3 linked regions of the Schizosaccharomyces pombe genome follow. Changing the gene in region 1 together with any one later gene gives a genetic interaction. Each region holds a gene or a part of one and is shown on either strand. Other genes may lie near its edges. The genes, in order: gnr1, ado1 and ptn1.

Region 1 (3,956 bases):
ATATGGGTTCCATGATGGCCAAGGCAAAGGCAGAAGCAGCCTTGCCAGTGGGTACTAAAGAGATGGTTTCGACAGAGTCTCCTACGTATAAAGCCCTTACAAAGCAGGGATACAGCGTAGTTGGCTCACATAGTGGTGTAAAGATTTGCAGATGGACAAAGTCTGCTATGCGTGGCCGAGGCTTTTGCTATAAGTATAGTTTCTATGGAATTCGAAGTCATCTATGTATGGAAGCTACCCCAAGTTTAGCCTGTGCTAATAAATGTACTTTTTGTTGGAGACATGGTACGAATCCCGTAGGAACCTCTTGGCGCTGGAAGGTTGATCCTCCAGAAATGATACTTCAGGGTATATTGAAGGCTCATTATGCCAAGTTAAAATTAATGAAAGGTGTACCTGGTGTTCTACCCGACAGATATGAAGAAGCGTCTCGTGTTCGTCACTGTGCTTTGTCCTTGGTTGGAGAGCCTATATTTTATCCATACATAAACGAATTTGTGTCCATGCTTCATGAAAGAGAGATTTCATCGTTCTTAGTAACAAATGCCCAGCATCCTGAAGCATTAAGAAATATGGGTATGGTCACTCAACTCTACGTTTCTGTTGATGCCAGTACTAAGCAGAGTCTCAAATCAGTAGACCGACCATTATTCAAGGATTTTTGGGAGCGAATGCTAACGTGTTTGGAGATTTTACGTGAAAAGCGGCAGCGTACTGTTTACCGAATGACCTTGGTGAAGGGATTCAACATGGAGCAAATTAAAGAGTATACTGAACTGATTCGTCTTGGTGTGCCTTGTTTCATCGAAGTTAAGGGGGTTACTTATAGTGGTAATTCGGATCAATCACCGTTGACTATGAAGAATGTGCCTTATTATGAAGAGGTAATTGACTTTGTTAAAAAATTGATTGAGTATATTGATATTCATTTACAAGACCTTGGCGTCCGCTATGAAATTGCTGCAGAACATGCACACAGCTGCAGTATTTTAGTTGCTCAAACTGCGTTCAAAAAAGATGGCCATTGGCATACTCACATTGATTATCCAAAGTTTTTCGAATTAATACGGACAAAGAAAGACTTTGGTCCATTCGATTATATGGCATCCACGCCCGATTTTGCCATGTTTGGGAACGGTGGATTCAGTCCAGAGGATACAAGATTTCACAGGAAGAAAAAGACACAAACATCTAAACCAATTTCTGCAACCATTTCAGAAACTGCTACAATTTCGGAAGCCGCTGCGTAAGCCAACTTTTGTAGTAAATAGCTGAAGAAAAAAAAGAGTGACACACTCTAAAGTTTATGAACTGTTGAGCAGTTTTTGTACGCGTCTGCACTCATTGATAAAAAAAAATTAAGATTTTGGCATAGGTTATTTTCGTTAATTCATTAATATATTTTTTGATTTATCAATACAAAAAAACGATGAAGGCTTATTTGCTTAATTTCGTTCATATATTTATAGTTTCAATGGGCGTAAAGTAATAAAAATGTTGACGATATTGTACTCAATTGTTTTTTTAGTTAGACAAGTATATCGCAACCTGTCTCTATTTTTATTTATATAGTAACCTGAGTCGTAACTTTTAATTTTCTTTTTTTTTTATGATTGAGAAACAAAGAATACATTCTTTCTGTTTTAGGACTCGTGGAAATGTCTTGGAGTAATTCGAGCATACTGAGATTACAACTACTACATATGATTACAATTCGTTTTTTAAAGAAGGACTATTCGTTTTCAACCCTTATGACCAGATAGAAAGAAATCCATATATATATTATATATTTAAAAAATTAAAGTTGACATTGTGAAGAGCCATAATCCATACATGGTTAATAAAGTAGGTTAACTTGAGGAAGGAATGGATAATTGTGTAAACTCCTTTGAGGATCAGAAGGATGACTTGGTGCATAAGAAGAAAAGTCAAAATTTCGGCTATGTATGCGGAAGTATTAATTTAGGAACAAATGTGATTGCTCAAAGTCCAACAAAGCCATTGAATTTTTTTCATTCGTCAAGATGGTCGCCGGATGGATCGACTATACTTTCGTTAACAGAGGATCAATGTCTTAACTGTTGGAATGTGCCGTTTTCCGATTTATCCAAAAAGGCTGATGGACCATTGAACTTTTCAAAACATCTGTCGTATAAATATCAATCACCGGAAACAGTTTACAGTTACAGTTGGTATTCGAGAATGAAACTTGACGATCCTTCCAGTAACCTTTTTGCAGTGTCTAGTAGGGATCAACCTATCAAGTTGATCAATTTTACTACAGGAAAGAACAAGGCTTCATATCACATGATAGATCACCAAGAGAGATATCAAGGATCGCATTGTTTACAGTTTACCAACGATGGGGAGTATTTGATTGCGGGTGATAAAAACTGTCTCCATCATTTTAATATAAGAACGGGATGTAAAGAACCTGTCATGACAACGGTAACCCATGGATATAAAGTCCCTCTTTGGGAATTTAGTCTTAAGGGTATACAGTCATGCTTTTCCTTGAATCCGATGGATTCGAAAACATTGGCAGTGGGAACGTATTCAAATCGAGTTGGGATTTATAATGATTGCGGACGTCGCCCTTGTCAGCTAGAGTTTTCGATTGAAAGAGGAAACGGAGTGACACATCTACAATGGTGTGAGGATGGAGAAAAGTTATATGTTGGAAGCAGATGCAGTGATAAGATTGAAGTTTGGGATATACGGTATGTGCGCGACATGGTATATGCTCTTGAAGGGCATCGTGGCGATACGAACCAAAGGATTCTTTTCGACACTGATAAAAAGGATGAAATTTTGGCAGGTGGGACGGATGGAAGTATTCGTAGATGGAGAAACAAGGATCTTGTGGAAGAAACGCATGTGACGGGAAATTACGATTTGACGGTAAACACAGTACAAGCGAACCCTATAAACATGCAGATAAAGTGTGTATGTTATGGAAATAGAATTTACAAGTATGAGAAGGATGAAAGTGAAGAAGAGGATGAAAGTAAAGAGAAGGATCTTTGGACAGGAACGGTTTCGGCTTTACAGGTTTGGATGGATTGAAAAAGCAAAATTTGGAATGAATGAATACTTGAAAAAATAAAAAATGGTGAGCTTGAAGGAAGAACTTTATGAGGATGATTTGATTATTAATAGAAAAACATTAGAAAACCGGTTCTAAATTGGTGTATTGGTGAATGGGTGTTTTTTTCGCAATCAGGAGGAGTCCTCAGACATGTTGAGGGGTTTCATTATTTAGATTATGATAAATTAAAAAATAAAAGAGATGAATTTTATGCAAATAGTTGATTATAAGAGCGCAACAATCTTTGTATTAATAAAACTACACATTCGCTTATTAAATAACCTTAAACTCGGTTATACATGGATTTCCAAGTGTCGCAAGTAGAGGAGAAATGGAGAAAATGGAAAGCAAAGAATGGATGAAAATTGTAAATCAGCAGTTTCGAACTTTTCAAAAATTTGTTAAAAATATTAATTTTTCAATTTAATTGAATTTTGTTTTACAAGGTGGATACTATGGAGGAAAAAACAAGATATGTATGGAAAAGGTAGCGATCGCAAAGGAAAAAAAATATTAGAAAAGGAAATGGAATGAAATTAATTGAACGAAATGAAAAGGACATGAAAATAAACAGAAGTATAGAACAAGAAAAAAAAAATTTTTTTTTAAAATAACATAAGGATGGAAGTGATCCGGAGTGAATAAATAGAGGGAAATGAAAAAAATAAATAAATAAAAAATAAATAATAAAATAAAAAATATTTATATACACATACATATAGATTGGAAAAAGATGAAAGAAAAAAAATGAACCAACCAATCTATCAATAAGTAAATCAATTAATCAATAAATATATAAAAATAAAAATTCTAAAACCAAGAAAAAAAAAAGAAAAAGAAAAAAGATTGAAATCTTATAAACAAATCC
Region 2 (3,861 bases), 580 kb from region 1:
GAAACATACTATTTCAGGAGAAGTATAGAAACGTCTTTGGAACTTGAGGAATATTACACAAAGGTTTCCCCATGGATGAGCTCTATTGTAGACGATGTCATGTACGTTACGAAGCAAGTATTCCAACGTGCGTTTTTTACAGTCTCCTCTTTATTCTTCACCAGATTTGTTAACGAAAGCTTAATCCCTATTTTAAGAAATGATTACTATGTCTACCTTTCCCATAATCTTTTAACTGTCTGTAACATTATAAAAGCTCAGTTCCAGAGGCTAAAGAATGCAAATAGCATTCCCGCCAAACAAGTCGAAAACTACATAACATTGGTAAATAGTGCTTCACTCAGCAAGCAATATCTAAAATCAATTGTGGATGGTGTTTCTAGTCGGTTGGAAGAAGTTTTTGCCTTTGCCAAAGACCAAAAATTGGTAAAGAAATCGATTGATAATTTTTTGCAGCTAACCGTTAATTTTGAAAATCTTTGCAAGACTTCTTTCAACATGTACTTTCCGATATTTTTATTACCCCGAATTGAGCAATGCATCGATGATTCCTTTGATGGAATCAACTATGTCTTGTCCTATGAAGACTATACGAAGGAGACAGAACATGAAAGACTGGTAGTTACCCGTCTTCGCAGCGTTTGGGACAGGGTTTTGTTGCTGGAGCAATTTACTCCTGAAAATCAGCTTTCTTTACGCTCTATGGCATGCGAGAAAGCTGCAAGTTATATAGAAAACCTCATACTATATAAGATTCAGTGGAATGATTATGGTGCTATGGCATTAGAAAACGACATTTCTAGCTTAATTACTATCTTTTCCAATGATCAAGCTAATCTCCGACATAGCTTTGAGCGTTTGCAAGAAATTCTAATCTTATTAGTATGGGAAAGTGATTCTACAGCCCCAGAGCAATTGATCAACGATTTAAACCTACAGCTACTATCCATAGATATTGTTAGCGCTATTATGGAAAAGAAAGCGAATGTTCAAGGTGAAGATTAACGACCTTTTTTATTCAGGATATTTGAAGAAGCACCAAAAGTTCTTTAGTTGTAATCTCCTGTCATATCCTAAATTTATCCTAAAAAACGGCGGATCATCGTCTCCACGTTTAGCATGATGCCGATATCTATTTTTTTTTCACTCTATTTTTGTTTTTATTTCTTTATTCGTATATTGAAAATTTTGACAACCGGCTACCCTGACGCAGTGCAACTCGATCATCATTTATCTTAGTTTATTATTTCTTCCACACTTTGATAAGTTTTCCGCTAAAAGTTGAAGCAACCCCTTTGTTAAAAAAATAATACAGGAATGGAGTTAATATTCATGACCAATTGTATATAGCATCAAATATCGACTCTTTTAATCTTTATTAGTTCTAATTTTTCTCGTGATCGGCCTTCTTAAATAAGTATTGTGATTATAATATACCGAGGCGCAAAGGAGTGTGATACAGTTTATATCGTTTAATTATGCAGTTTGCAATCAGTTTAATGAAGGTTAAAATTGCGATGAGTATTAGTTGTGACCTAGAATTCCAGTATACAGGTACAATAAGTAACATACACTGTCAATCTTCAGTTACATAGTATTATATTTTTCACCAATATAGCTAATAACTGAAATTGAGGATGCTTGTACAGTTATGCTTATATTGATAATTTTTTTAGCTGCTCAAATTTTAATAGTTTATTAAAAATAGTATGCCTTTACCATACAATATATAGCGAAAGATAAACAGACCATATGGCATGTATCGATATTTAACGCAGTATAGTATTAATAATATAACGCATTACAATTATGCCATAATATCGCTCTTTGAACATTAAGATACTTTACCTGTTGGTGTATTTTCTCGTGGTTTTTCTTTAACTTTTTCCCTTCCCTTACTACAATCATTTATCATGTCTTCATACATCTTGTTTGGTTTGGAAAACCCTCTGTTGGATTACTATGTTGGTGGTGAAACTGCAACTCTTGAAAAGTATGGCTTGAAGAGCAACGACGCCGTCTTAGCTTCTGAGAGCCAGATGGGTATCTACAAGGAGCCATGCGTTAGCTACAGTGCCGGTGGTGCAGCTCAAAACAGCTGCCGTGCTGCTCAATACGTACTTCCTCCTAACTCTACTGTTTTCGCCGGCTGCGTTGGTCAAGATAAGTTTGCTGATATGCTTCTTGAATCGAACGAAAAAGCTGGATTACGATCTGAGTTTTCTGTTGATCCCACTACACCTACTGGTGTTTGTGCTGTCGTCTTGAGCAACAACAATAAAAATCGCTCCCTTTGTACCAACTTGGGAGCTGCTAACAACTACAAGCTCAAGGACTTGCAACAGCCGAATGTATGGAAGTTCGTTGAGGAAGCAAAGGTTATTTACGTCGGTGGTTTTCACTTGACCGTCAGTCCCGAATCCATGTTATGTTTAGCTCAACATGCTAATGAGAATAACAAGCCCTATATCATGAATCTTAGCGCTCCTTTCCTCTCTCAATTTTTCAAGGAGCAAATGGATTCCGTTATCCCATATTGTGATTATGTTATTGGCAACGAAGCTGAAATCCTTAGCTACGGGGAGAATCATGGAATCAAAAGTACCGACGTCCAGGAGATTGCGCTGGCCTTGTCTTCTGTTGAGAAGGTTAACAAGAAACGCACCCGTGTTGTTGTCATTACTCAAGGAGCCGATGCCACGATCGTTGCTAAAGACGGTAAAGTAACCACTTACAAGCCCAACCGCGTCCCATCTGAGGAAATCGTCGATACCAATGGTGCCGGAGATGCCTTTGCTGGTGGATTTATTGCTGCTCTTTCTCAAGGCCAAGGAATCGATTATGCTGTTACTCTCGGTCATTGGCTTGGACAAGAATGCATCAAGGTTAGCGGCACTACTCTTCCTCTTCCCAAAAAGCAGTTCCCTTTACCTTAGACTATTGCATTTTAGTGATTTTTTAAACTGTCAACGTAGATAACGCACTTCGTTTTAATTAGATGTTTAACTTTAAAAATTGTGCACACTATGATTGCAATTAGTTAGAAAAGCAGGCTTTATTCTTTGACATTGATATTTTGTTATCTTATTGATATGTCATGGGTTCTGTCGTATCATTGTTATAAGCTAATAGAACAAGTCTATTTTTGCTAAGCTGATATAAATAACTGGATATTATATTGCAAGGAAATAACCCATTTTGACTTCTTGAGGGATTTGTATATGCCATTTATTCCAATGTTAAGAAATTTGCTAAATAAAGCATTGCTGAGGGGAGCTAAGCTAACGCTGATTTTATTACCGAGAATATTTCTTTGTTGAATAGAAATATAAAGAATTTAAATTCATTTCAATCGATGGAATTTAGGATTTCAAATAAAAATTGGACGAATTACTTTTATAATAGTGTACTGTTGAGTAAATTTTTACGTGTCTTTATGTTATTGAAAGTAGTTTAGCGTTATTTTGAATGCTCTTATAAAAATATCGTTAATTAGTTCAACGCAATCCCATAAGCACCAGTATGCGGAGGTAGCTATGCTTGGTTAATACCAGTGATCTCTTCTTCTACCAACATTTGCACTTGGAAACACAGCTACGATGAAGAGCGCATTGTGTATTGCTTTGGCCCTTACATGGTCGCTTTTAGTACAAGCAGCTCGTCAGACGGTTTTGGCTGTTGCCGACCATGATATCGGTGGATATAGCACATTTTTACAATCACTTACGGGTACGATATTGACTAACGCGTTCAGTAACTAACTGTTACTATGTAGACAGAGATTTTGATGTGAAAACTTCTTACATCAAAGATGAAAGTGCAAAGCTATTTGAATATGGTGAACGTCTTTACGACAACTTG
Region 3 (3,826 bases), on another chromosome or scaffold:
TCACTTCCTGATAACAAGAATTCACCGTCCGCGGACCAGCTGAAAATTGTAAGCATTGTAGAACAAATTGTTATAAAACACTTACTCTAGTGTATTAACACATCCCGTATGACCAGTTAATTCTTTCTGCAAATCTATACCGGTCAACCAAGTCGAATTGCCGTAGATATCTCGACTGACTAATAAACTAGTTAGCATCATTCAAAAACAAAACAAGAGCATACTTTTTCGCTGAAACCAATCTCTATAATCCAATTGACGCAAGGATAGTGATATCCCAGACATGAGAGTCAATTCAGCGATTAACAAGCGTTGGTGGAAGACAAGCTCAATTCAAGTGGATGTCGGTAATGTAGCCACGATGAGTTAATACCATAAATCGTAACTGCAAACTCGAATCTTAGAGTATAAGCCTTAAACTCAAACTCCTATGTTTTTTTTAAAATTTAAAAAAAAAACTTGAAGCGCCTCTGTAATTTACTGAAGTAGAAACACTTCAACATGTGAGTTTATTTCGATGATCGAAAGGAGGATCTAATTGCACAAATAATCATTTTATTTTACACTAATATAATATTTACAAAATATCAAAAAACATTTTCATATACAATTGTCAGTTGTTCGAAAAAGGGGTCACTTCGTCGGCTATTATCCATTTCAGACCAGGAGAACGAAATTGACTGTTGTCCTTGCAGAAAGGAATTTATACCTTGTTGAAAATTTATCCCGTTTGTGTATTCCACAAGCATAGGTTGAAAGTGAGTATGAAACCAACATTGCACACTCGAAGGAAAGTAAAACTGGCCCTTGCGTTCGACTCTGAGCAAAAGGTCTTTCTCCGATGTTTCTAGGTTGCATTGTATCCCCCATATACGTTTTCCTTCTTTTATGCTTACATTATGGGATGATATATCTGAACTCTTCCACAGAGCAACTGGATTTATGTTTCGTCCCTTAGAGAAGGCATGCAATGATAGAATCAAAGATGAATTTTTTTTAATATTCAAACATTTAAAACTTTTAAAAAAAGTGGTACCAGTATTAAATTCCACAGCTTTCAAATAATTCGGGAACTGTTTTAAAATTTCGATATAATAGACGTAACGTATTTGCGATGAAATGGTAAGACCGTGCCCTCGAACCATTCTTTTTTCAGTATATAGTTCAAGACTTTGCTTGGCTGTCAAGCCTCCGAAAGCTACCAAGTAGCTACATATTACAGTTCCTGTACGTCCTTTTCCGGCCTTACAATGAACTACCAATGTCAACAAAGGTTGCGTTTGAAAGAGTGCATCCATATTCATAACAATAGCCCATAAAAAGAGAAGCGGAGGTGGATTATGATCTTGAAATCCATAATTTATGACATTTGGTTTAAATAATTCCAAATGGTAAACTGTTTCTTCGGCACATAAATTCAACAATATCCAGTTGTCTTTCAATTGCGTTGTAAGATATTTAAATACATCCAATTCGTCGTTTCGATATAACTTATGTATTCCAGCAGCCGGTGTAGACATAGCAATTACCTTGGAAGTAATATAAACCATATCTAAGTAAGCAAAGCTACGATTCACTTTTTCTTGTTTGAGGCCTTTTCGACCCCTCGAAACTACTGATCGAAGTATATTCATGGAAAATTACATGTTTAATTAGTTATTTGTAATATACTAGGATAATACTGCAGATGCCGTTGACTGTTGAAATATGAGGTAAGCTGCACTGTTCAGAAGAAAATAAGAGAAATACAATAAAGATTTTAGTAATGAACTTTAAGCGGGTAGGTATCAACCATAGTGACGTGAATAAATAACTAATTTACTTTTAATTATTTATATATTTTGATAGCAATGATTTGATAATCCATTTTATTGAAAAAAACATAAGGGCATAACTTTTCCCTTTAAACGATGCAAAAGTATTACTAGTAAAAAAAAATAATAAAGAAATAAAAAAAAAAAAATGAGAAAAATGAATAAAAAAAGCCAATAAGAAATACAATCGTAAGACATGAACCGTAAATAAGCATTAAAATATTTTGATAAAAATCCTTAAAAACATTTAAGTCCACCAAAAAACAAACAAACCCATGCGATTATTCGAATCCTCTAAAATAAATCCAAAACGTTTAGGTAAAAAGAAATAAGTGGTAGAAGTATATAACGTTAGACATATGCAATTAATCATACATTAAAAATAAATCGTGAGGCATACACATTAGCGAAGATCACCAGTTATTGAAGATTAACTGGATAGAGGACTTTGTAAAGTAATTAACGAGAGTGAGTAAGTAGCGGAAGTATCAGCAAATATAAGTACACTAACCTCTTGGCCTGGACGGATGGTTTGAACAACCTCAGGCTCTTTCATACGTAAACTATGAAGTTTTCCATCTCCGGAAATATCCTGATTGCCAGAGGAACTTTTAGCTGTTTTACTAGTACTGTCATTGCCTCGAGCCTTTGAATAGAAAGACTCCTGGGACTCAGCAGCGTTAGCTAAATCCCGAACCTGTGCATCCATCATATCGCATATTTGTTTGCACATCCCGTTGGAATCCAAAAATTTTTTCTTAAAGTCATTGAAACAAGGTGTATCAATTTCCAAAGAAGATGAAGCATAAAAGAAAGAAGCATTTGTCCTCCATGATAAATAGAGTTCGTGTTTTTGCTCATTAAAGTCGCAGTTACTAAGCGGTAGCAGATCCAAGGAGATCCTTCTTTCCAAGCCAAATTCGTATATGACTATGTCAATATACTCCTGGTCAACAGCCAAAACAAAAGCCTTATGCTTAACGAGCCCAGATCGTAAATTAATAGAATGGAGAAGTTGACATAAATATGCATGTAGACTTTTTTCCTGGGCATTACGGTAGAAGTTGCTCAGTGTGTTACAAGACTGAGTTATAGAAAGTAAACTTCTGTAGTCTTTGGAAAAGTCTGGTCTGCCATCAAAGGCTTCGCGTAATTGTCTCTGTACACATATATCGATATATCTACGAGTAGGGTGACAAAAATGGGTGTAGTAAGGACAAGAGAACACAAAATGCGAAACATCCTTAGCATTTGAAGTACCGATAGTGTATTCAGATTCATTACACATTCTTCTTAGAGTCAATTGTAGTAACATTTTGGTTCTCTTATCCTTGGTAGTTGCAATTTCGGTCATGATTTCCGAAGGAGTAGATGAAGCAGATAAATTCACTCCGGTTAACTCAGAAACTGCAACAAGAGATGCAAAGTCAGAAGGTCTTTGATTTTTTCGCAAAATCACTTTACTGGGAAAAACAGACATTAAATGAGATGCAACTTTCTCGTTTACCCAATGTTCAATTTGTTGTAAAGAACATGCAATAGGGAATGCCTCAAAAATACTCATGTTAATATTCTGTATATTAGGAATCTGCCCATCGCAAAATTCAAAGCAGTATAAGGATTGTAAGTCAAGTTTCTTATCTGTTTTCAATCTTAGTTTGGTAAGGACATGGGCCGATGCATCAACTAGCTGAAGCGCTTCGTTGGTTTGCAAGTTTGCTTGTGCACTTTCTAAACTAATAAAACTTGACGGGTGGATTACAGAGGGCCCAAGGGAACACTGTAAAACAGCGCCGCTTTTCAAATCAAGCTGTACAACTATACTAATTGTTAAACAATCATGTCCCTCTATAAGGGAAATCTCTTCTGAGACCTTTTTCGGTAAAAAGGGTACGGAACCTTGCAACAATTGTACTTCTGATACTCTATTGGCAGCTTCATCATCAAGAGGCATATCTTGCTTAACGTAATACGCGACGTCTGCAACGTGTATTCCAAGTGTGATGACTCCG

The links.
Region 2: mutations in gnr1 (region 1) and ado1 together harm fitness more than expected from each alone (negative genetic interaction), as found in Schizosaccharomyces pombe (one large-scale study listed by BioGRID).
Region 3: mutations in gnr1 (region 1) and ptn1 together harm fitness less than expected from each alone (positive genetic interaction), as found in Schizosaccharomyces pombe (one large-scale study listed by BioGRID).

The regions. Positions count from the first base shown.
Region 1 is NC_003421.2:765,280-769,235, reverse strand, and holds gnr1 (heterotrimeric G protein beta subunit Gnr1 ), read left to right. Parts: upstream 1-1,692; 5' UTR 1,693-1,866; coding exon 1,867-3,066; 3' UTR 3,067-3,300; downstream 3,301-3,956. Other genes in the region: wybutosine biosynthesis protein Tyw1, read left to right, coding at 1-1,250. UniProt on the Schizosaccharomyces pombe protein: Negatively regulates the pheromone-response pathway. Acts as a structural mimic of the G protein beta subunit thereby interacting with gpa1 which then inhibits gpa1 signaling.
Region 2 is NC_003421.2:1,349,137-1,352,997, reverse strand, and holds ado1 (adenosine kinase), read left to right. Parts: upstream 1-1,879; 5' UTR 1,880-1,913; coding exon 1,914-2,936; 3' UTR 2,937-3,361; downstream 3,362-3,861. Other genes in the region: COG complex subunit Cog4, read left to right, coding at 1-1,005; dolichyl-diphosphooligosaccharide--protein glycotransferase subunit Wbp1, read left to right, coding at 3,600-3,729, 3,776-3,861.
Region 3 is NC_003423.3:3,159,631-3,163,456, reverse strand, and holds ptn1 (phosphatidylinositol-3,4,5-trisphosphate3-phosphatase Ptn1), read right to left. Parts: upstream 1,729-3,826; 5' UTR 1,635-1,728; coding exon 588-1,634; 3' UTR 516-587; downstream 1-515. Other genes in the region: iqw1 (WD repeat-containing protein), read right to left, coding at 1-39, 86-179, 225-285; SPOM_SPBC609.01 (Dis3-like exonuclease family protein), read right to left, coding at 2,245-3,826. UniProt on the Schizosaccharomyces pombe protein: Acts as a phosphoinositide 3-phosphatase and regulates PtdIns(3,4,5)P3 levels.